Linked DNA regions of Tamandua tetradactyla. The protein of the gene in region 3 interacts with the protein of the main gene of each other region in a pairwise test. Links are inferred from orthologs where the notes say so. Each region holds a gene or a part of one and is shown on either strand. Other genes may lie near its edges.

Evidence for each region.
Region 1: the proteins of TCHP (region 3) and keratin, type I cytoskeletal 16-like interact in binary tests that used the Homo sapiens proteins (3 or more experiments, as listed by UniProt). The link is inferred for Tamandua tetradactyla from reciprocal best matches to the Homo sapiens genes TCHP and KRT16.
Region 2: the proteins of TCHP (region 3) and DYDC1 interact in binary tests that used the Homo sapiens proteins (3 or more experiments, as listed by UniProt). The two-hybrid records come from large-scale screens. The link is inferred for Tamandua tetradactyla from reciprocal best matches to the Homo sapiens genes TCHP and DYDC1.

What each region holds. Positions count from the first base shown.
Region 1 is NC_135332.1:25,571,462-25,578,515, reverse strand, and holds the start of keratin, type I cytoskeletal 16-like, read right to left. Parts: upstream 3,003-7,054; 5' UTR 2,829-3,002; coding exon 2,262-2,828; intron 1,820-2,261; coding exon 1,737-1,819; intron 1,623-1,736; coding exon 1,466-1,622; intron 1,353-1,465; coding exon 1,191-1,352; intron 1,101-1,190; coding exon 975-1,100; intron 707-974; coding exon 486-706; intron 389-485; coding exon 339-388; intron 230-338; coding exon 126-229; 3' UTR 1-125. UniProt on the Homo sapiens protein: Epidermis-specific type I keratin that plays a key role in skin. Acts as a regulator of innate immunity in response to skin barrier breach: required for some inflammatory checkpoint for the skin barrier maintenance.
Region 2 is NC_135339.1:15,513,417-15,521,359, reverse strand, and holds the start of DYDC1 (DPY30 domain-containing protein 1), read right to left. Parts: upstream 3,003-7,943; 5' UTR 2,832-3,002; intron 1-2,831. UniProt on the Homo sapiens protein: Functions as part of axonemal radial spoke complexes that play an important part in the motility of sperm and cilia. Plays a crucial role during acrosome biogenesis.
Region 3 is NC_135331.1:21,553,551-21,561,565, forward strand, and holds the start of TCHP (trichoplein keratin filament-binding protein), read right to left. Parts: upstream 3,018-8,015; 5' UTR 2,845-3,017; intron 1,501-2,844; coding exon 1,313-1,500; intron 579-1,312; exon of another isoform or gene 530-578; coding exon 325-529; intron 1-324. UniProt on the Homo sapiens protein: Tumor suppressor which has the ability to inhibit cell growth and be pro-apoptotic during cell stress. Inhibits cell growth in bladder and prostate cancer cells by a down-regulation of HSPB1 by inhibiting its phosphorylation.

The DNA of each region.
Region 1 (7,054 bases), on a different chromosome or scaffold from region 3:
TATTAACCCACCACCAGCAGAGGGGAGGGGGAGACAGCTGGGAATCACGCTGGGAGAACAGGGTCCTGACCAGGCCCTGGAGAGGTGAGGCCAGCGAGTGGGCAGCAGGCTGTGGCCGAGGATGCTCAGTTCTTGGAGTGCTGGCTCTGGCTGAAGCTGGACGAGCTCTGTTCCTTGAGGATGGGCCGGGTCTGGTGACCAGAGGAGGAAGACGAGGAGGAGAAGACGACTGTGGAAGAGAGGAGAGGGGTTGAGATGGGCACTGGCTGCTAAGCCAACTGTTAAGCCCACATAAACAGGCAGAGGCGCTCAAGTGCCCGGGAGCCTCGGAGCCTTACCATCACGGGAAGAGTACGACTGGCCAGAAGAGGACTGGGAGGAGGAGATGCTGCAGGAGGAAGGAAAGGCAGAGCAGTTAGTTATATGTGCTGGGAGCAGGGGGCCCTGCAGGGTCCATGGGGCAGGACTAGGGGCAGGGCACTCACTGGGCGTCCTCGCCCTCCAGCAGGCGGCGGTAGGTAGCGATCTCCTGCTCCAGACGGGTCTTCACGTCCAGCAGTATCTTGTACTCCTGGCTCTGCTGCTCCATCTCGCAGCGCAGCTGTGCCAGCTGCTCCTCCACGCTGCCGATCATATCCTGGATCTGGGCCAGCTGCATGCAGTAGCGGCCTTTGGTCTCCTCCAGGCTACTTTCCAAGGATGCTCTCTGCAAGATGGAGAGAAAGAGAGAAATGTGGTCACTCCCCTCCCTCCTGAGAGGTGCATGGATTTTGACCCCAGCTGGATAACTGATGGGACAGATACCAGGGAGCAACGTTTATTCCACCACTTTGGACCTCAGTTTTCCCACCTAGAAAATGTAACGAGGATCTCTCCTGTCCACTCTGGGGCAAGACAGTGAGGTAAAAAGGGAGAAGTGTTGAGAGGGTGGTGGCCATGACTGGTGATCTGGGGCTGGGCCAGGCCCTCCGTACCATGCTGAGCTGGGACTGCAGCTCGATCTCCAGGGCCTGGAACGCCCTCCGGAGCTCGGTCACCTCACTGCGGCCACTCTGTACCAGTTCACTGTTAGAGGCCACTTCTCTGTTCAGCTCCTCGGTCTGCGGAAAGCAAAGCAGAAAGTGTAAGTTGCTGCAGAGGCCTCTGCTGGCTGGGAAGTCCTGCAGGAGGGCTGAGGGGGCCAGACCCACCTTGCTCAGGAACCAGGCCTCAGCATCTCTGCGGTTCTTCTCTGCCAGCTGCTCGTACTGGTCACGCATCTTGTTCAGGATAGAGCTCAGGTCCATGCCGGGAGCTGCGTCCATCTCCACACTGACGTCCCCACCGGACTGACCCCGCAGGGCAAGCATATCCTAGGAAGGGGTAGCAAGAGGCGGTCAGCTCAGCAGATTCCTCTCCTGGTTCTAAGAGGATCTGGTGACTCCACCAAACCAGCCTCCCAACCCCAAGGCTGGCAATGGCCCACCTCCTCATGGCTCTTCTTCAGGTAGGCCAGCTCCTCCTTGAGGCTCTCGATCTGCATCTCCAGGTCACTTCTGGCCAGGGTCAGCTCGTCCAGCACCCTGCGCAGGCCGTTGAGGTCGGCCTCCACACCCTGGCGCAGGGCCAGCTCATGCTCGTACCTGGCAGGGCAGAAGGCAGCGCATCAGGCCCCATTCCTGAGGCCTCCGGCCGTCCCCGGTGGACAGCCCCACTCCTCTCCTCCCTGCCCTCAGCCCACCACCGTGGCTGCTCACTTGGTCCTGAAGTCATCGGCCGCCAGCCTGGCATTGTCGATCTGCAGAATGGGCTGAGCATTCTCGATGGTGGCCGTAATGATCTGGGGTGGGGGTGGAAGGAAGGGAGGCCTAGGTCAGCCAAGGACCTCAGGTAGGACGAAAGGAGCCTTCCCAAGCTGGGAGAAGCCTGGCTGGAAGATCAGGCCCCTCCCTCACCCGGCCACCCTAGAATGCCTTCACCACCCAGAATCACCCCTCATATTCCACCTCCCCCATCCTGAGCCTGAGGCTGAGGGAGGCTAAAGGTGCAATGCAAAGAACCCGCACAGGGAGTAAGAGACTCAGGGCTCCAGACCCAGCTCAGGCGCATAGATGCTAAAAGGAGACTCTCCGCCACCAATTCTCTGGGTGACCCTCGGCCACTGTCCAAAGTTGGGCCTCAGTTTCCCTGGTCGTAAAATAGAGATGCTAGAAAGAATCTAAGGACCACTGTGGCCCTGGCCTCACATTCCGCCCACCCGAGCCGCCCCCCAGCCCACCCACCTTGTTCCGCAGCTCCTCGATGGTCTTGAAGTAGGGGCTGTAGTCCCTGGTCTCACTGGGCCGCTGCCTCTGGTACCAGTCGCGGATCTTCACCTCCAGGTCGGCGTTGGCCTCCTCCAGGGCGCGCACCTTGTCCAGGTAGGAGGCCAGGCGGTCGTTGAGGTTCTGCATGGTGGTCTTCTCGTTGCCGGAGAGGAGGCCGCCATCATCACCGCCAAAGTCACCGAAGCCACCTCCAAAACCCCCTCCAAAGCCACCGCCGAAGCCGGCGCCCAGGCCACCTCCATATCCCCCACCAAAGCCACTACCCAGGGCTCTGCCAAAGCTGCTGCTGCTGCTGCTGAAGCCACCGCCATAGCCGCTGCCATAGCCGCCCCCCATCCCGCAGGCTCCCCCGGAGGAGAAGCGGGAGGAGACGGACAGGCCCCCATAGGTGCTGGGGGCCCGGTAGGATCCCCCAGCCAGCACAGAGGAGAGGCGGCTGGAGCCACCCCCGATGCCACCGCCGATGCCACAGGAGCCCTTCATGGAGCTGGAGGATGTGAACTGGCGGCTGCAGGTGGTCATGGTGTGAAGGTGAGTGAGCGAGCGAGCGAGTCGGCAGAGAGGAGAGGAAGGTGCTCAGGGAGGCCGGGAGTGACTGTGTGTGGCTGCCCAGGAACCAGGAACCTTTATATGCCACCTGGGCGAGGCGGTCCTCCCTCCCGTCTGCTGACACCAGGTTCTCCACCAGATTTCATCACTCCCGGCCCCGTCTAACTCCCCACTCTGGATCTCTCAGCCCCTGGTCTGCACTTTGGGTGTGCTGGCTCAGAATTCCCACCCAGCTCGGGGTGGGGAGGGGGGCGTGGGGCCGAGAGAAAAACACCCAAGCGCGGAGTCGTTAGTGACTCAGGCTGGGCGGCTGGGAACCCCGGCCCCGGTTCCTGGAGCCCGAGGGCCCCGCAGGGCCCCAGCCCAGGCGACTTTGTGGCGGCCGCGTCCCCGGGCTGTGAGTCAGCTCATTGGAAGGACTCCTTGCCCCACAGTGACAGCCTCGGCTGAAAGACACGTCAGCGATGCCATCCCAGGGCCTATCTCAGGATGTGGTTGTGGGGATCCCACATGCCCCACTCTGGGCAGCGGGCAGGAGGCTGGGCTCCTGGCCAAGGTCTGCTTCGCGTGCTGTGTGACCTGAGGCCCCTAACTTCCCCTCTCTGGACCCAGTAAAGTGACAAGTCTGGACACATTTCTAGTTCTAAAAATCCTGACTCTCTTTCCCCTATTGGATCCAATCCCAGAGTCCAATAGGGGATTACCTTTGAGTCCCCCAGATCCCAGAAACGGTGTGTATGTTGTAAACGGCACCCGTTTTGGAGCCAGACAGGTTGTGGTTTGAATCCTGTGATGTCCCTCACAAGCCCTTTTAGCCCCTCCAGGCCTCAGTTTTCTTATCTGTAAAAGGGGAGGACAGGCCACCAGCCCCAAAGGAGCATGCAGAAAGGGCCCCAGTGGCCAGGGCTCAGCAAGGCCCTGGTCCTTGCCCCTCAGCTTCCCCAGTTCCTGCCCGGCCAAGTTGCCACTTACCTGGCCTCCTCACCCCCACACAGCGCTCTGCCCTGTCCTCTCCACACCCCTCCCACCTGATGGACACCCCACCCAACACATGGCTCCCCCACTGCACTGCACTGCTCTGTGGACTCATCATGGGCACCCACTCATAGCCATGCTGGGGGGAGTCCATCCTTCCACCCCCGTGCAGCATGACCCCTGACCCCTCCATGGACCTCAGAGTTCCTCCTATCCAGAGACCAGTCCCAAACAGTTTCCTCGACATGTCCACAGACTCCAGGAAGGGCTTGCTGGCTCCATCCGTTCTATCAGGGAGCAGGGGAAGGGCACTAAGACTCCCTGGTCACCTGCCACGATCAGGTATGCCCAGGAATGTTCAACACATGCAACTGAGCTCTGTGAGTGGGGCAAAGATGCTGCTACCCATTCCACAGAGGAGCTGGGATGCGGGGAGGGCAGGTGGGTTTCCCAAGTCCCTCATGAAGAGCAGAGCTGAGATTGGGGCCCCATCTGTCTGTTCCCCCAACGCGGGCTCCTCCCAACATTATGCTCCACTCCATCATATTCTTGATCTGTGAACTAACCGTGGAAAGTGAGGAGGGTAGCGGAAGAACCAGAGAGAAGAAATGATTTGCCCAGTGTCATTCAGCTTTGAATGGCTGGCCCAGGGCTAGAACCCAAGCTCTGGCTCACTCAGCCCTGCCACGAAGCAGGGACCAGGTACGTCCAGTTCTCATCTATCTCCCCAGGGTGCCTGCAGCCCAGCTCTGTCCACCCTGGGCATGACCTTGGCCTGAGAGCCCAGCTGAGCACCAGGTGCTGGAGAAGGTCTGGACCCCAAAGGCATCTTCTACCCTTCCTCGGTGGGGGCTAGAGGAACCCAGAGAGGGCCTGCCTCGGCCTGGGCGATGCTGGACAGTACCGCCTCGAATCTTGGGGCAGGAAATTCTCTGTCTCAGCATGACCAGGCCTTGTTACTGCCACTTCTTGCCCTATCAGACACTTGTCCTGTAGGTCTGAGCAGGGCTGGATATCCCTCCAGCTCATGCCTTCGGAGCCTGGCCTAGGAGGAAGAACCCAATGCTCCCCTCTTCTGACCTCAAAATAGGTACTGGGAACCTGGAATCTTGGCCAAAGAATCCCACCGTCCAAGGTGTCAAGATGGGCTTGGAGTTTGGGTCCCTTTGCACACTCATCACCCCCAGAACCAGAAATTTCCTTCCAGGTCACCAAAGGTCACCAAGACCCAAGCAGAGAAACTGAAAACTTGCCCAAGTTTAAACAACACAGAAGCAGAGAGCAGAACCGTGAACCCACCTCCAGTTCCCAAATCAAGGGTCACAGACTGTCCTAGCAGAGTCCCAGGTTACTCTCCATTGTGTGCCCCACACATGCCCCTGCCTCCTCTCCACTCCACCCCAGCCATTCTAGAGGAGTCGGGGGCTCCTCGACAGGCCCAGGACTGAAAGTCTGGGGAGCTGTGTAAGCAGAGAAGCTGCGGGGAAGTCGCTCACCCCCTCATCAGAGTCAACCCCACAGCTCAGGCCCCACTAGGGACCCGACCCTGGGGTGAGAGGGGGGACTATGGCATAGTCCCCAACCTCTGAAGAACTCAGTCCTATAAATCCTCAGATTAAGGCTGAGAAATTCATCCCCATGTGGCAGGAAAAGAAGGTGCTAAATTGAGTGGCCCAAGCCTAGGCCCCTGGGGTGCAGGGCCCTCTTTGCCACACCCCCACCACGGGATGCCTCAGGGGTGCACCCTACTCCACTGCAAGCCTCAGCAGTAAGGAGGGGTGGCACAGCTAGCCCTGTCCCTCCAAGATCCTCTTCAGAAGGTGCCTGGAGCCATCAGGGGATGCTTCCTAGCAGAGGGGAATCTCCTGCTGAGCTTGGAAGGATATGAATTGTCAGAAGAGGAGAGGGAAAGCATGTCCAACCTGACAGCAATGCCTTCGTGCCCCCAAGATTGCCAACAGCTGGGAATCATTCATTCTAGTGGTGCCAGAGCACAACGTCCCCCCAAGCTTGCCTCCCTCCAGGCAGTGGGTCTGTCCCTCTCCCCACCCTGACTCCTGCCTCTTCCCTTCGCCCTACCCCATCTCAGGTATGAAGTCATCTAGCTGAGTTGGCCAGGAACATATCAGCCACGTGCCTCAACTTGCAGTGATTCCCAAACCTGGCTGATCGCCAGAATCCCCACGCTGATTCCCAGGCCCTGGCCCAGCCCACTGTATCAGCACCGCCAAGAATGAGTTGAGGCATGGGGATGTTTTACAAGCTCCACCAGGGGATTCTGATGACCAGGCAGGTTGGGAAGCAGGAGGCAGGCCAGGGTGCTGGAGGAAAGGGAGAACAGGAGGCCCCGACTGGCTGGGAGGAGACAGGCGCTGCTCGGGGCCTCCAGCTCCCCTGGTGGACAGGCTAGAGCCCAGACTTCAGGGCAGGATGAAGAAGGGGAAAAGGCCAGAGGGGGCAAGGACAGAGCTCCCTGTTGTCAGGGCCAGCAGAGACCAGGCTTGAGCAAGTTCAGGCCCGGGGAGCCTCGGTTTCCCCGTCTGGGAAACACGAGCAATAACACTGCTTCCCAGCGTGTAGGAGGGATTGAGGTGAAATGAGTAAGGTGCTGGCACAGCCCGGTGGCTCCCACTTCACCCACTCAGCAGGCATTTCGAGAGCACTTGCTATGTGCCAGGCTCTGTGCTAGGTGTGCTGATTCGGAGACCAGCACAGGGAAGCCCTCGGGTTCAGAGGGCCTGCAGGGAAACGGGGTGGGCTCCCTCGGGATGCAAAACATCCCCAGCCAGGCTCTGGCCTGTGACAGGTCCCAGGATCAGGAGGAGTCTGGGAGCGTCGGCTCTCCTTCAGGAGTCCTCTCCCTTCCCAGATGTCTGCGGCCCCCCTCCGGAGGGCAGAGGCTGTCATGGCCCCCCCACTGCACAAACCAGGGCCCCCGGGGGAGCCCGTGACCCAGCCAACACCTCCGCACTGTGAGCTGGGATGGCGCAAGAGGCCCACCCTGCAGAAGGGCTGTGGGGGCAGTGTCGGTCCCCCACGGGGCCTGCCCCCCACTCCCACAGGGCACACCAGACGAGGCGCCCTCGGGGCAGGCGCCGTCTCTCCCCCATCTCCTCCTTCCCTTACACTCAGGGCCGACCCAGGCACCGAGTGGACCCTGTGCCCAGGCACAGGTGTTCCCCACCACAGCCATCTCCCCCCAGGAAATGCCACCAGGTCAGCCC
Region 2 (7,943 bases), on a different chromosome or scaffold from region 3:
ACTTTCCCAAGGTGTCACATTTGAGCTAAGATATGAAGAAATATTTAAAAATCAACAAGGCATAATTCTAAATTCTGAGATACTGAGCTGTTTGTATATAACATGGTCTTTCCCAGAAACTTTGGGTATTTATGTGACACCTGAGACTCAGAGTTAGAGCTCTGGAGCTATGAAAGTCAGTAGTACCCCATACAGGAACTGTTTAAAAAGTTGGAAAAGTGATTAGACATCAAGTAGAGATATGAATGAAGCTTATTTGGAATAGGACTAAGGTATAACAGAAGACTGGGTAAAGGACGATATCATCCATGTTTTAAAACTTCAACTTTTGTGTGAGACTCAAGGGAGAGATATTTATTTGGTGCAAAATTTATATTTTGGGTTGTGCAATTCCTAATTTAAATTGTTTGGTCAGTTTAGTTAACATCATAAGTACATGGAATCTTGAAAAGGGCATGCAATCTTGTTGATTTCTCTAGGTTAGTGTGATGCCCTGATAAACCACAGAGAGATTTGGACAGTGAACAAAGAAGTACTTGCAAAGTCCCCTTGGGGGAATGGAGAGAAAGGGGACAAAAATTCAACCTCCCCATTTGGAGATTCTCTGATATTCTAGCTAGCAGTGGGGACAACCAAATCAATAGGCCAAGCCTTCGATCCTGGGGGTCACCCCTATGAAACTATTCCTGCAAAGGATAAGCTAATACTACCTAACATTAGGCCTAAGAGTCACTCCCAGAGAACCTCTTTTATTGCTCAGATGTGGCCTCTCTCTCTCTCTCTAAGCCAACATGGCAATGAACTAATTGCCCTACCCCTCTACGTGGGAAATGACTTCCAGGGGTGTAAATCTCCCTGGCAACATGGGACAGAAATACTGGAATGAGAAAAAACTTCTTGACCGAAAGGGAGAAGAGAAAAGTGAGACAAAATAAAATGTCAGTGGCTGAGAGATTTCAAACAGAGTCTAGAGGTTATTCTTACACATTATATAGCTATCCCCTTTTTAGTTTATGGTATATTGGAGTGGCTGGAGGGTAGTACCTGAAGCTGTAGAACTGTTCCAGTAGCCTTGTTTCTTAAAGATGATTGAATAATGATATAATATTTACAATGTGACTGTGTGATTGTGAAAACTTTGTGTCTGATGCTCCTTTTATCAAGGGTATGGACAGATGAGTAAAAAATATGGATAGGGCGGGCCGCGGTGGCTCAGCGGGCAAAGTGCTTGCCTGCTATGCCGGAGGACCTCGGTTCGATTCCCGGCCCCAGCCCATGTAACGAAAACGGAGAAACAAAATACAATAAAACAAGAAAATGTTTAAAAGAGGTTTCCCTTTCTTCCTCTCTTCCTTCCTTCTATCCTTCCTTCCTTCTCTCTGTCTTTCCTTTAAAAAAAAAAAAAAAAAAAGAAAAAAAAATATGGATAAAAAAGAAACAAATAATAGGAGAAACAAAGGTTAAAATCAATTGGGTAGATGGAAATACTAGAGGTCAATGAGAGGGAGGGGTGAGGAGTATGGTATGTATGAGTTTTTCCTTTTTTATTTCTTTTTCTGGAGTGATACAAATGTTCAAAAAAATGATCATGGTGATGAATACATAACTATGTGATGATATTGTGAGCCACTGATTGTTCACCATGTATGGAATGTTTCTACGTTAAGAATGTTTGCATGTTTGTATGTTGTTTTATAAATAAAAATATTTTTTGAAAAAAAGAGGCAGAGAAGGAAAGGAAGAGCCTTCCAGGTATGAGAAAGCGCCTGGACGGTGACCAACCACGACAGCTGTAGGGGAAGAAGGTCAATGTGTCTAGGCCCTGTCCCTAGACAAATGCATCTAACATTTTACAAAAAATTCATCTGGAGGTCCATCCACAGACCCCAGTATTTCCATTCTCTCATATAATGTTGGTGGGAGAGCAAAACAGCATAGAGGGGGAATACTGGCAATAGTCAGAGCAATTACATAAGTGTTTACCCTTTGACCCAGCAATCTCACCTCTGGGATCCTATCGCAAAGATACATTCACAAAAATGTGAAATGACAGATGCACAAAGTTAACTTGCACCATTATTTAAAACAAAGACCGGAAACTATCAAATGTTTACCAGTAGGGGATTGGTAGCAACACAAGGAATTATATTATACAGATGTAAAACATTAGGAAACTCTCTAAGATAGGACTATTTTAGACAACGGGACTATTGTGACATGCAAAAGTGTTTACAGTATGTCATCTTTTGTATAGGAAACAGGAATGAGAAAGGAACGTGTTTGTGTCCATATACTTAGTCTTAAAACCTAAGGGAGGAGGCGTGCGACAGTGGCTCAGTGGCAGAATTCTCACTTGCCATGCGGGAGACCTAGGTTCGTTTTCCCCGTGCCTGCCCATGCAAGAAAAAACAAAATAAAATAAAATAAGGGAGGAGCCTTTGGTCTAAGTGTGGGCCCAAGTCCCACCAGCAGTGAGACCTGGGCAGGCTCAACTCGCTTGGCAAACGTTTCCCGTGCGCAAAATGGCCACAGTATCCATCAACCAAGGTTGTTGTAAGGCATGTTATTTTTCAAATACACCAAATGCCACATCTTGACTCAACTGAAGAAAGTCCCTTCCCACAGAAACAGCTGTCTCAAGTCCAGCGACGCTGCCACAAGAGACAGAAGATGACCCCCGGATCACGCTCGGGGTTTAGCCAAGTGGGAAGGGAGATGCGGGTAGCAACGCCAGATTTAGTAAATATCTGTCAATCCTCGCCCCGGGGCGCTTTGGCTCGGTTTCCAACAACCCCCGGGTCGCAAAAGGGGCCAGGTGCGACGCGGCTCACCACTGACGAGCTCTACGCCACTCGTAAAACCCAACTGCCAGCGCCGCCTGTCTCACTCGAACCCTGGGAAGCAACATGTGCGACACTCCAAAACTGCGCCTGCGTTCTCCGTGCTCGCGCCCGGTGCAGACCGACGCCCAAGCGCAATCTCGAGTCGCGTCCCGTCGCTAAGGAACGAATTCACGCACGCGCCTTAGGTGCCGGAGGAGGCCGGGGGCAGAGAGGAAGGGGCGCGAGAGGGTGAGCCGAGAGCGCGCGCGAGGGCTAGGGGGCGCGCGGCAAGGAGGAGTGCGCGCGACGCAGGGTGAGCAGCGCGCCCTCGACTCAGGTGTCAGCCGAGGTGCCCGGCAAAAGAGGAGGGACCTGGCAGCTGGGTGAGCAAAACACGGGCGTGAGGGGAGGAGAGCGCGAGGGTGGGAGGGCCGCGGGGAAGCACTGGAGAGGGTGGAGAGCGCGTGGCCGAGAGGCGCGGATGCAAGCCGCGATGGCCAGAGGCTTAGAGGTAGGGAGGAAGAGGCGGCCAAGACAAGTGCCCAGGTAGCGAGCGGACCTTCACTGCCAGAGAAGAACGAGCGGCGGATTCGCCGGAGGGTCAGTGAAGTGCAAGGAGGTCCCGAGGTCCCCTGGGCCAGAGGTCATTGCAAACTCGATGGCTCAATGGCCTTAGGTCTCAGTACCTTTGCACTTCCCGGCCACCTCCGTTTGGCTCCTTTCACAAGCGGCTCAGGCAGAGGCAAATCCCGGCCCTCCTGGTCCTGCCCCTTGCCAGAAGGTACAAAGAGGACCGTGTGAGCAGACTCTAGGGGAGCACATTTTTTTGGCGCCTCCCTTTCCAGGCCTCACCCGGTGGCTGTCATTCTTCTGGCTCTACTGTTTTTGCAACAGTCTTAGTAACCGGAAGGTTATTGGGATCATGTTGAAAATGTGCAATGTTGAGCAGGTGCTTTTTCCTTATAGGGTTTGCCTCACCTAGGCAGGGAGGCCGCTGACCAATGACTGGGGAGTGGAGAGGCTTCTTAGAAATGCAGAACTAGTGATTCTGCCCTCTGGGAAGATTGTGCCTACAAATCACCTGGGGATCTTATTAAAGTATGGATTCTGAATCTGTAGGTCTGGGTGAAACTTGAACATCTGTATTTCAGTGAGTGATGCAGTTCTGCTGGTTCTCAGATGACACTTGGAGTAAACGAGGTGTAGGAGATTGTTCATCCAGGCGCCTTGGTCCAGGTGGGCCACAGACTGGCAGAGGGGGACACCAACCTGCCCTGTCTCCACCTTCCACATTACCAAAACTTAGTGGCTTAAAGCACACACATGTATTCTCTTCCAGAGCTGGAGGTCTGAAGGCCCAGGTGAATCTTACAGGGTAAAAACGAGGGGGTGGACAGGGCTTGGTTTTTAATGGGGGCTCTGTGGGAGAATCCATTTCCTTTGCCAGCTTCTGGCATTTCTTTCCTGCCCCCTCCTCCCCCAAATTCCTTGGCTCATAGCCAGATATTGCATAGCGTTTTTTCCCCTCTGCCTCCATATTTACATTTCCTTCTTCCTTCTGTCTGAAGGAAGGAAGGAATTTCTATTTCATTCCTCTTACCAGATCCTTGAAATTACATTGAGCCCACCTGGGTGATCCAGGGTTAGCTTCCCATCTCAAGGTCCCTAACATAATCATAACTGCAAAGTCCTTTTGCCTTATAAAGTAACATATTCACAAGTTTCAGGTATTAGTGTGTGCACATTGTTGGTGGGCTATTATTCAGTCTACCACACTGTATTTTTCTTAAGAAAAAAGACATTCTCTTCTTTATTCTTATTTCAGTGAACAAAAGTGGGAAATTTAACCTAGACGCAATTCTGTTATCTAATCTAAAATTCATATTCACATGTATCCAATTTTTTTTAAAAATGTCCTTTGTAGAATTCATTTTTTTGGTCCACATCCAATTCATGATCATGTGTTGTTATTCCTGTTTAGTCTCCTTTAAGCTGCAATGGCTCTTCATCTTTTTTTTGTCTTCATATTTTTAAGAGTGCAGCTCAGTTATAGACTGTTTCTCAATTTGGTTTTGTTTGGTGTTTCCTCCATTAAATTCTTCCATTTATGGGCAGGAATCCACCAAAATGTATTATGTACCTTTCAGGACATCACTTCAGGAGGGCTGTGATGCCAGTTTGTCCCTTTTTGGTGATATATAATTCAATACTTCGATCCCTGGGTTAAGGTTGTGTCGATCAGGTTTCACCACTATAAACTTTCTACATTTCCATTTGGAATTATTTCTTCATCTGAAAAGAGGAGCTTTAACACTATTGAAATAGCTTATTTCTTATCGAATATTCGCCGAGTTTTGGCACCCACTGAAATTCTGATTTGATTCATGTACACTGTGATGGTTATGAAATAGTGATTTTAACTCCATTATTCTTTCCACATTTATTAATTGGTGTTCTGCTTTAAGGAAGACCTTTCCCTTCTTCCCCATTCATTCATTCACTACTTATTCTCAAATGGATTCTTATTTTGTTCAGTGAGTTATAATCCATTGCCATTATTATTTATTTTAATGGTCAAATTCACCTAGATTTGACTGGTTAGAACTGCTTCCTGCTGGCTTCTGTGTTTCCAACCATTTTATTTTTAGCATGTTCTTACTATTTGGCACAGCAAAATATTTCAGACTCATTGGATCCTTCTTGCCCAAGCCTTGGAAATCAGCTATTTCTCCAAAGAGCCCAAATTCCTTTTAAGTAAGAAGATGATTTAAATACAAAAGCTGGGTACTAGGAGTGCTTATTGGTGCTAGTTTTTTGCTACTAGGCCCTTGCAGTGGAGAAAGTTAGGAAGTATATTTCTTTACTACATCCATATCTTTCCATCTTTAATCTGAAAAATGAACAACAAAACCAGCATTGACAGTTTTATACAAGACAAAAAAACACCTCCAAAAAACATTAGGACTGGATCTAAGCCTGTAATATTTACTGTGCTTTTTTGGAGTTAAAATATGTACATTTCAGGAATTTGAGTTAGGAACAGATTAGGAGCTAGGCCAGTTCTTGTCACAATCTCCCACTGTAATAGGTAATATTTATTAAATGCTACATGCCAAGCGCTGTGCTAAGTGCCTTTCATTTATTATCTCTTCTAATCCTCACAATTATGGGGTACATATTTATGTTATTTCTGTTATAGATAAGAAAACTGAGGCTCAGAGAGGCTGAGTGACTTGCTAGAGAGATCACACAGCTGGTAAGTGGCAGAACCGGAACTGGAATTTGGTCTGTTTGAATCTGCAGCCTGCATTCATACTGCTACCCTAACGTTACCATGCCATTCTGCTACTGGTGATCCTAAGAGATGATACAATTTGGGCTATACTGCCTCCAGCTCTAGGACTCTGATTAATAATAAATCCAGGGTCATCAACCCAATCTAAGCAATAGGAAGTGGAATATTGTGTTGTATACAAGCAGGATGCCTGTCCCCCAGTGGCGGTGGTGCTTGTTCATTTTCCCTCCTTTTCCTCCCCAAGGCTTCTTATGGGTTTCCTGTAAAATAAATAAATTTGTTTTATCTATTTCGTAAATAACCATGAGCGCCAACCTCACAATACCATAACTCGCTGGGTGCTCAGAGCCCCTCCCAGGGGATTTCCTGCATGGTCAGTTATGTCCTCCTTGCCAAGGGTAGACGTGTGGGAGTAAGTGGAGGCTTGCTGAATACTTAAGCACCAATCTAACCACCTGATGACCCCCAGGACCTATTTCTGGCTTAGGACAACTGGAGGATGTAAGAACAGTTGGCAATAATGTATTTGGGTTTTTTTTTTTTTGAGAGAGAGAGAATGAATTCAGAAATATCTCATATTTATCCTGAAATGAATCTGAATTGGTTAGAATATGTACATTTAAAAAAATCAGATTGGATGTCTAAAATAATATGACTCTGCCTTCATGTTTCCCAGACCCCCAGGATGGAAACTGACTACCTAAAGAGGTGCTTTGGAAATTGCCTAGCCCAGGCACTGGCTGAGGTGGCTAAGGTTCGGCCCAGCGACCCAATAGAGTACCTGGCTCACTGGCTTTATCATTATAGGAAAACCTCCAAGGCAAAAGAAGAGGTGTGTATATATACTGGGTCTTCATTGGGAGGGGCTTTCTAGCTTTCTCCAAAGTAATTCTGGAGCTGGCCTGGAGAGTTTCTTGGTTTATTCAACATGCAAAGATTGTTTGGGGCCTGTAATAGTTAAGTTTAGGTGTCAACCTGGCCAGGTGATGGTGCCAGTTGTCTGGTCAGGCAAGCACTGGCCTTACCACTACTGCAAGGATATTTCTTGACTGGTTAATAAGCCAGAAGTCTGTATTATTAAATCATCGGTAAGTGTTAAGGTAGGAAGGAGGAACTCAGCATGGAGTATACATAGACCACAACAGATGAGCACCAGGAAATCCACAAATCACCCAGCCACAACACAGAGCACATTGAGGCTCCTAGTAGCCTACCTTTTCCTCCATATTCAAATTTTTAAATATTCATCAATCTTAGTGACAATCCCCATCTATGGAAAAAGAAATTTTAAAAGGCAATTCATCTTGAATATTAGGAAATGCCTTTGGTGTTACTAGTTTAAAAACTCAGATTTTTAAAAAATCTAATACTTCACCTGGAACAAATGTATTTTCATACAAGTTCCTTTGAGCCCTTTTCAAAAATTACTCAGTATTTTTCAAAAACAAAATAATGGCTGTTGTTAGTATATACCTCAGGTATATTATAATATTTTATTATTTGCAATTTACTTATGCATCAGCCACAGACACCTCCTCTATTTTGCTATAATAGTGGACATAAAAACTTGTAATAATTGGAACAACTGTGGATACATCAGTCAGACAAGCATATCTTTTATCTCCCACAATTTTTGCTACAATCTCCTGAACAATGATTTCTGTCATTTTATGCATCCTGCACAAGGAACAATAATACCTGAATACAGAACTGACTTAGTGGCAATGTTAGACCTGATTTCTAATACCTTTTAAAATACTCACTATATCCTGTGCATTAAAATCTTTGGTGCAGTGTGTACAATTCACTAGCTTTGGTGTAAGCAA
Region 3 (8,015 bases):
TAGGAGATTTCAAAAGGTATAGCAGGCTTAAAAACACACGTTGGAGCTCACTGTTCCAAACGACTACTTTGGAAGATAAAATATACCATGCTCAGACCTTTGTGGAACCACAGAACTGGAATAAAGTAAAAGGACTCGGATGTAATGACTTGTGTGTGCAAAACACACTACCTGAACAAAGACTTAGAGTTAGCACTTTTCCCAGCTGTCTCTGGCATCGACCACCATCAGATCAGAGTGCCCAGGGGTGATCCCACGTATACAACACTGACAGGCCGGGGATGCTCCTGCTCTTGAACCTTCTGAAGGTCTATGGGACGTTACCAGTTTCCTTTGCTCTTCTCGGGCTGATTTCAGATTCCCATGCCGCTCCCGGATTCTTCTTTCCCGTAGGTCTGTGCTCAGGTCCTCCAGTTCTTTGGCCAGCAGGTTCTGCTCCTCAAGCAGAAGCTGCCTGAGCCTCTCACGTCTGGCCTCCAGACTCCTCCTTTTCTCCTCCTTCAACTTCTCCCGCTGATAAGCATGCATGCTGGGTGAGAAGGATCCCACAATAAACCACTCAGACTACAGCAGAGGCTCTGCGAAAGACCAAAGGTGGACATACCGTGGTGACACAGATAGGTGCCACCCAACCAAAGTGGAGAGAGCAGATTATAGGACAGGATGCAAAACAGAATTTTGTATCCATAAACAAATACTGTTATGCATGTGATAACGTATAGGTAATATTTTTTGAGCAATTACCACAAGCCAAGGACTAAGCTATACATGTATCTTTATATGGATAGTTTTATATTAATCATAGCATAAATCCTAAAGAAGGTTCCATTTTAGCCTACTTTACTGCTTGGGAAACTGAGCCTTATTCATATAGTAAGTGACACAGTCAGGATTTCTATACAGATCTGTCTGAATCCAAAGCCTATGCTTTGGACTAACATGTATTTCTATAACAATGGATGGATGTGTGTGTGTGGGGGGTCTATTTATACACAAACACAAATGGGAAAAAGTATGGGAGGATATGTACCCAACTGTTCTCTCTGGGGAGGCGGTATTACAAAGAGACTTCTAGGCGCCACTTCATATACTTCTATATTGTTTTATCTTTTTTTTAATGTGTAACTTTACATATGATTTTTTCTTTAATTTCCAGTTGGAAAAAAAAAATCACCACTATGCAGGTAATCTATGCTGTTCAGCAAACCCCTCAAGAAAATATGTAGTCAAGCCACATGTCCTTCCACCACGTCCTATGACCAGCCAGAGTGGCCCCCCACTTCCACCCAGCTGGCAGTCACCGCGCAATTACCTCCGCTGGTAAGAGGACTTAGAGCTCCATTCTGCCTGTTTAGAGCTGCAGATGTCAGACATCCTGAAGTAGCGACTATTCTGATCCCACTGCTGCCGAAGCCGGGCCTCCTGCTCTCGCTGGCGTGCTAACTGCTGATCCAGAAGCCTCCGGCTGCACCAGTAGGAGGGCAGCGTGGGCAGTGCCATCTGAGAACAGCAACGGTAAGAATATGCTCCAACTGCAAACCCCAGGAACCTGTACAAGGCTGGCATCCTTTTACTCAGTGGTCTTCACCCCTGTCTGTATATTGGAATTACTCCGTGGAGTCTTTAAAAATACCCATACCTAGGCCTCACCTTCTCAGAAAATCTTAGAATGGGGCCTAGGCATTGGCATTTTAAAAATGATCTGCCACCCGGGCTGCAAATCACTGATTTAATAAAACCAGGATGTACCCAGATGTGGGCCAGGTGTTATCAGAGGCACTGAGGACAGAGACAGGGGACCAGTCCCAGCAATGCTAGATTTGGCATATTGGGGACTTCTGTACTCTTCATAAACTAACAGGGACAGTAATTTAAGGAACATTTGTATGTACCCAGCATCTGTCACATGTATAACCCTTCTCATTCTTACCACCACCCCATTATTTGGCAGATGAGGAAACAAGTTCAAAGAGGTGAAGCACCTTGCCAAGGCTCACACAGCCAGAAAGGAGAGGAAATAAAAGACCTGGGATTCTAATTCAGATAGGTCTGAGTCCAGAGCCCCGGGTCTGTCTACTGCAAAAGGCTCCCTGTTGGGACAAATATGCCCTGGTTCTAGCAGCCGCAGGCGAGAGGCCAGGCAAGGAGTCACACCTAGAAGTCTTCTGGGCCCCCACGGAGGGCAGATCCCTTATCTTACAGTTGAAGAAACTTCCTCTGAGAGAGAGGAAGTGACTTGTCAGGGGTTGCGGGGCAATCTGGGGACACAGCTAGACTAAAAAAGCAAGCAGTCTCACTGTAGCCAGGACAACCTTCCCCCAGCCCACAGCTGTCCTCAGGTACAAAATCTACACAGTCCCTGGCTATGGTAGTGCTTGAGGAAGGTCTCTTGAATAAGCACATGGGTCTGGCACCGCGCCAAGAGTCTCAAACTCAAAGTCCTTCAGAAGCTGCAGACAAATAATCTACATCTATGCGTCCAATTCGGCCTACAGGCCTGCGACCTCTGTTTTGAGACTTTGGCTGGCCTGACATGCTTTTTTCCCCTTGCCTTTTAAAAAAGCCAGTGGATAAATCTTTGCACTAAATTTAAGATCCAGCTCCCCGAGAAAGCCGTTTCCCTCTCTGAGCCTCAACATCCACATCGAGCAAACGGCCGGGAGGCCTCGACCCCATGTCTCGTTAGTACCACAGTGAGGACCGGAGCCCAGGTTTCCAGGCTCCCTGCGGCGGTATCCCTGGGTCCTCGCTCCCTTTTCCGCCAGCGCCCGGCCGACCGCGGCCAGAGCCTCTGAGTACCAGCCCCAACGCCGGCTCCCGAAAGAACTCAGCCTCCAGACTCACGTTTCTCCGCGCCTGGGAGTTTCCGAGGAGCCCCAGGCCCGCTAGATCCCGCAAGGCCAGATCAGGCTGAGCAGATGCCAGAGGCCGGGCGGAAACTCTTAGCACTGAAGCCGACCGTTTCCCCGCTGGTTGTCCCGGCAACGGGCCGGGAGACGGCGCGCCGCGAGGACCAAGTTTCCTCCAGCGCAATACTGAACGCTCTAAGGAGAAAAAGGAGACTGTACTTTTTTCTAGCGCCCCCTCGTGGTAGGAGGGAGATCAATAGCAAACTTCGTCGGTTCTTGAAGTAGGGAAGGGCGAGGAAAATAATCCACTCAGCATACAAAATTCAGGATAGTGGTTACCTGGGGTGGCAGGAAATCAGGGGGCTAGGATAGGGGAGGATAATATAAGCCAGTGCTCCTCCAACCGGGCAGTACATGAGAATCAGCTGTGCAGCGCTTCAAATCCCAGTCCCCAGACAAATTACATCTGACTCTCTGAGGGTGGGGCCTGGATAGCCTGTTTTTCAAAGCTCCCCAGTTGCCTTCAATATGCATCCAAGGTGAGAACCACTAACGTTAAGTAGATGCAAATTATTGATAATTTTCTATTGTAGTCTTAGACTGGTGGTTGGTTCTCAGTGTTCATTCATTACATGAGTTACAAGTTTTTATGCATCGAACATTCCATTAAAAAGATAATAAAGTAAATATCCACTCTTGCATTTGTTCCATCTTTTCTTTCATTTTTCCATTCTTTTCCTCACTTCCTTCTTTCATTCTTCCATTCCTCTATTCATTTCTGTCTTTCCTGGACGCTGTTTTAAGAGCATGGTCTCTGCAGTCAGAATGCCAACGCACACCATGCTGGCTGGGGGGTCCAGGCAGGTTGCTTCCTCTCTCTGTGCCTCATCTTCCTCATCGTTGAGAGTTCTACCTTCTAGCGTTGTCCTTGGGGGAGTCAGTAAAGGTATGAACAGAACAGAGTGCTTGGGGCATGGCAGGGGGGCTTGGGGGGGATTTCTTTCACATTTCCTCTACCCCACAGACATTTACTTGCTGTGTACCCTGCCCCATGCACAAGATTCCCCCAAGGTTGGCCTCTGCATTGGTCTGTACCCACTTGGCCAAGTTCAGGATCACTCTACCATATTATGTCACCAGTGGACAGAGGCAACCACCTGCTGTGATCAGCTCAGTCACAACACAGTGGGGCCTGTATTAGTTTGTTAAACTGCCTGAATGCAACATACCAGAAATTGAACAGCTTTTTCTTTTTCTTTCCCTTCTGCATGGGCAGGCACCAGGAATCAAACCTGGGTCTCCAGCATGGCAGGTGAGAACTCTGCCACTGAGCCACCATGGCCTGCCCTGAATGGCTTTTAAAAAGGGAATTTAGGGTGGTGCGATGGTGGCTCAGTGGCAGAATTCTCGCTTGCTATGCCAGAGACCCAGGTTCAATTTCTGGTGCGTGCCCATGCAAAAAGAAAAAAGAAAAAGGGAATTTAATAAGTTACAAGTTTACAGTTCTAAGACTGAGAAAATGTACAAAGCCACCAATAAGAGGTTACATTCACTAAAGATAGGGTGTTACCTTCCGGAACCCCTCTGTTAGCTGGGAAGTCATGTGGCTGGCATCTGTTGTCCCTGCTCCTGGGCTCCATTGCTTTCAGCCTCTGTTCCCAGTGGGGGTTCTCACTTGGCCGTATAGACTGCTAAGTCAGGATTTGAACCCAGGTCAGTCTGATTCCAGGGTCTGGTCTCATGCCTCTGTCAAAACTCACCCCCCTCACTGCTGTACAAACTTTTTAAAAATGTTGATACCCAATTTACTTAATCTACAAATGGAGCATATAAATCACAGTTTCTTTGGGCCTTAATTTTTCTATCTATAAAACCATAGTACTGTTTTTTACTTAAATTTTGAAAGTCTGATTCCTAGTAAGAAATGTTTATGCCTCTCCGTTTGACTGATTAGAGCGCTCTCATGTGTATTTTTGTTGTAATATTTTAGCTATTGTAAAAGGTAGTATTATTAATCTCAGCAGCAATACAATTACTAATGGCTTTATTTTCCCTTTCATAATTGCTTGTATCATTCAGCAAATACTAAAGAGTGTGGCTGATCCTGCTACAGAGATTTCACATGCCAGATTTTATTCTAAAGCCATGATGTTATTATTGTCCTGGTTTAAAGTTTTAATTTAATGACTTAAAGGCTTTTTTCCCAAAAAAAACTCCTAAAATAAGTTTTTCATTGTAATATTATTTTTTTATGCTTAAAGTGAAATATGTAGTCAATTAATTTGTTAAGATATCACATAATTTTATATATCACATATATAATTTATATAATTTTAGGGGTGGATAACAGCTCAAGGGGCCAATTCTAACTCACTTTTTCCAAATAAACATCTACTTGTATAAATCACTGCAAATAGATTTCCATCCTTTTACTCAAAAAGACTGCACTGGAGGGAGCCAAAAGAGAATCAAATATTTTGAAAAACTGCGCAAAATTGCAAACTCATAAATCCAATCATATCTTAAATGGCATTCATCCAACAAATATTTACTGATCACCCACTATGTGCCAGGACAGATTCACATTGAAGGAAGTAATAGCTTCTAAAATAAAGTAAAAATTACTGTTTTTTTTTTCTCCTGTAAAATGCCCTAGTAATCTGCCTCATTCTGTTGTAAAGATATGATAATATGTCATACATGAAATTGTGAGATGTTATTAAAATATTTACAAAAGAAATCTTGATGATTTCAAGGACATGTTTTAGGGGTGTCTTAGGTAGAAATCTCTGAATATGGGACGATGCTGATTTTTTTAATTGAAAGGTTTTTTTCAAAATTTTCATGACAATAAAGGAAGTGGTAAGAAAGGATTATGTCACCTAAAGAAAAAAAAAACTCACCCCCTCAGTGGTAGAATGCTAACCTACCATGCAGGAGACCCAGGTTTGATTCTGAACCATGCACTACCCCCCCCAAAAAAAACAAAACCTCAACCCCCTCCCCAGCCTAATACTTCCAGTGCTTAGGGAGAAACTCCAAGTGTTCATTGCAATTATATAGAAAGACAATTGATTTTTTTATAGAGAGCTTCTATTCTGAGACCTTGCTAAACACACTCATTAGTTCTAGAAGTTTTGCTTCCAATTCGTTGGTATTTTCCATATAAATAATTATGTGGCCTGAAAAAGAGGCACTTTTATTTCTTCCTTTCCAATGAGGATGGCTTTTACTTATTTTTCTTGCCTTATTACATTGGCAGGTATTGAATTACGGGTTAATTTGTGATTCTTCTTTTGACTTACGTGTTTTCTGAAATGAGCACATATTAGTTTTGTTTGTTTGTTTGGTTGGTTTTTTTGTATGGGCAGGCACCCGGGTCTCCAGCATGGCAGGCGAGAGCTCTGCCACTGAGCCTCCATCACACCAGCCCGTATTGGTGTTTTAATAAGAAGCAGCACAGTGGAGGGCGTCCCCCTGAGGAAATTTGCCTGCCCCTGGTGCCCTGCAGGTATGCAACCTCCCATCAGATTCCATTCTGTAAATCGGGAGAGCTCATCAGAGCTTGTTCTAACAGGCCTTTTTCTCCTGTGTGCAGAGGAGGCTGGAAAATGGATTTCTGCTCCAGAACCTTCTATTCAGAACCCTCAAGTAGCTCAGTCTGCTTCCATCTGGTGGAATATATTTCTCTGATGGAACAGCACTGACCTTTCTTTTTCTTTTTCTTTTTGGTATTTGTGGTGGTTTGTATCCATAGACCCCAGAAAAGCATGTTCTTAAGTTTAATCCATCGCTGTGGGTGTGAGTCCATTGTCAGTAGGACCTTTGGATGAGGTTACTTCAGTTCGGGTGTGGCCCCACTCAGTCAGGCTGGGTCTTCTGTTTTTGGTGGGAGGGGGTGGGTTCATGATCTGGGAATCGAACTCGGGTTCCCGCATGGAAGGCGCGCACCAGGAGAGTGCTATTACCAGGATCCTGTATGAGCAGAACGAAACTCAGAAAGACAGAGAGCTGTGGGAAGCAAGAAGCCGAAGGTCCACAGAACCCAGAAGAGGAGGGAGTGGTCAGGAGAGGCCGCCATGTGCCAAGTGACAGAGAAGCCCAGGTCCAAGGATCACCAGCAGCCAGACCCAGGTTGCCACCGTCTTCAGGAGGAAAGCATCGCCTTGATGATGTCTTGGTTTGGACTTTCTCTTAACCTCAAAACCATGAGCCGTTCAATCCCCTTTGTTGAAGCCGCCCCATTGCATGGTATTTGCTGGAGCAGCCAAAGCAAACTAAAGCACTATTTATATTATCTTTCAAGGAGAGCATGGTGTGAAGGATGAAGCCTCTGACCAGCTACAATTATTTCGTATCTCTGAGCTTCAGTTTTCTCAACTGTTAAAAATGGGGATACTCGTACTGGTTTGTGACTATTATTAACAGCTGCCTTAACGCAGTGCTCGGCCCCTTATTAGAACTTGAGGGATGACACTCACTGGTATTATAATTGCCTTCATACTGATCATTTCCTACGTAGGCACCTGCTTCAGTAGGGCTGGGTTTATTTCCTTCTGTGCTAGAGGAAAGAGCTGGGAAATGTTAACTTATTCACTCATCCCTCATCAGTGACCAAATAGCTGTTCCCCCAATGTCCTTGCTCAAGCTGAACAACCATTGGGATGGGGTATCTACCCCTCTCTACATGGTTTGGGGGTGAATCCGGATTAGTCTAAGCCAATTGTGGTTGGACCCACGCTCCTTGTTGGTGACTGGGCAGACGGTGGACTTCTGCCTCATTTTCCCCTAAGAAGATGACTTCTAGGGGCAGGGAGTTGCCGGGCGTTGTCGCATCTGCAGGAGCCCGCGGCACCTCTGCAGCCACACTGGGAGGAGCTGCGTGGCCTTAGCAGATCAGGAAGGGGGAAGAATCTGGTCCCTGGTGGTGATGGACACCTCCATTCCCCCCTGGCTTGGGGTCTCTTTTTAGGAGACAAACTAAAGGATCTTATTGCTGAAGGTTTTTCAGTCACCAGCAAGCCTCCCCATGAATAGACTTTCCCCAAGCACCATGTGTTCAGAGTGTAATTCTTGAACCACTTACCAAAGCTGCAAAGAAGAGAGTCGGCCAGTAATTGCTTAGCATGTATTGATCTGTGCCTGTGAGACCTCCCTTTGGCCTCC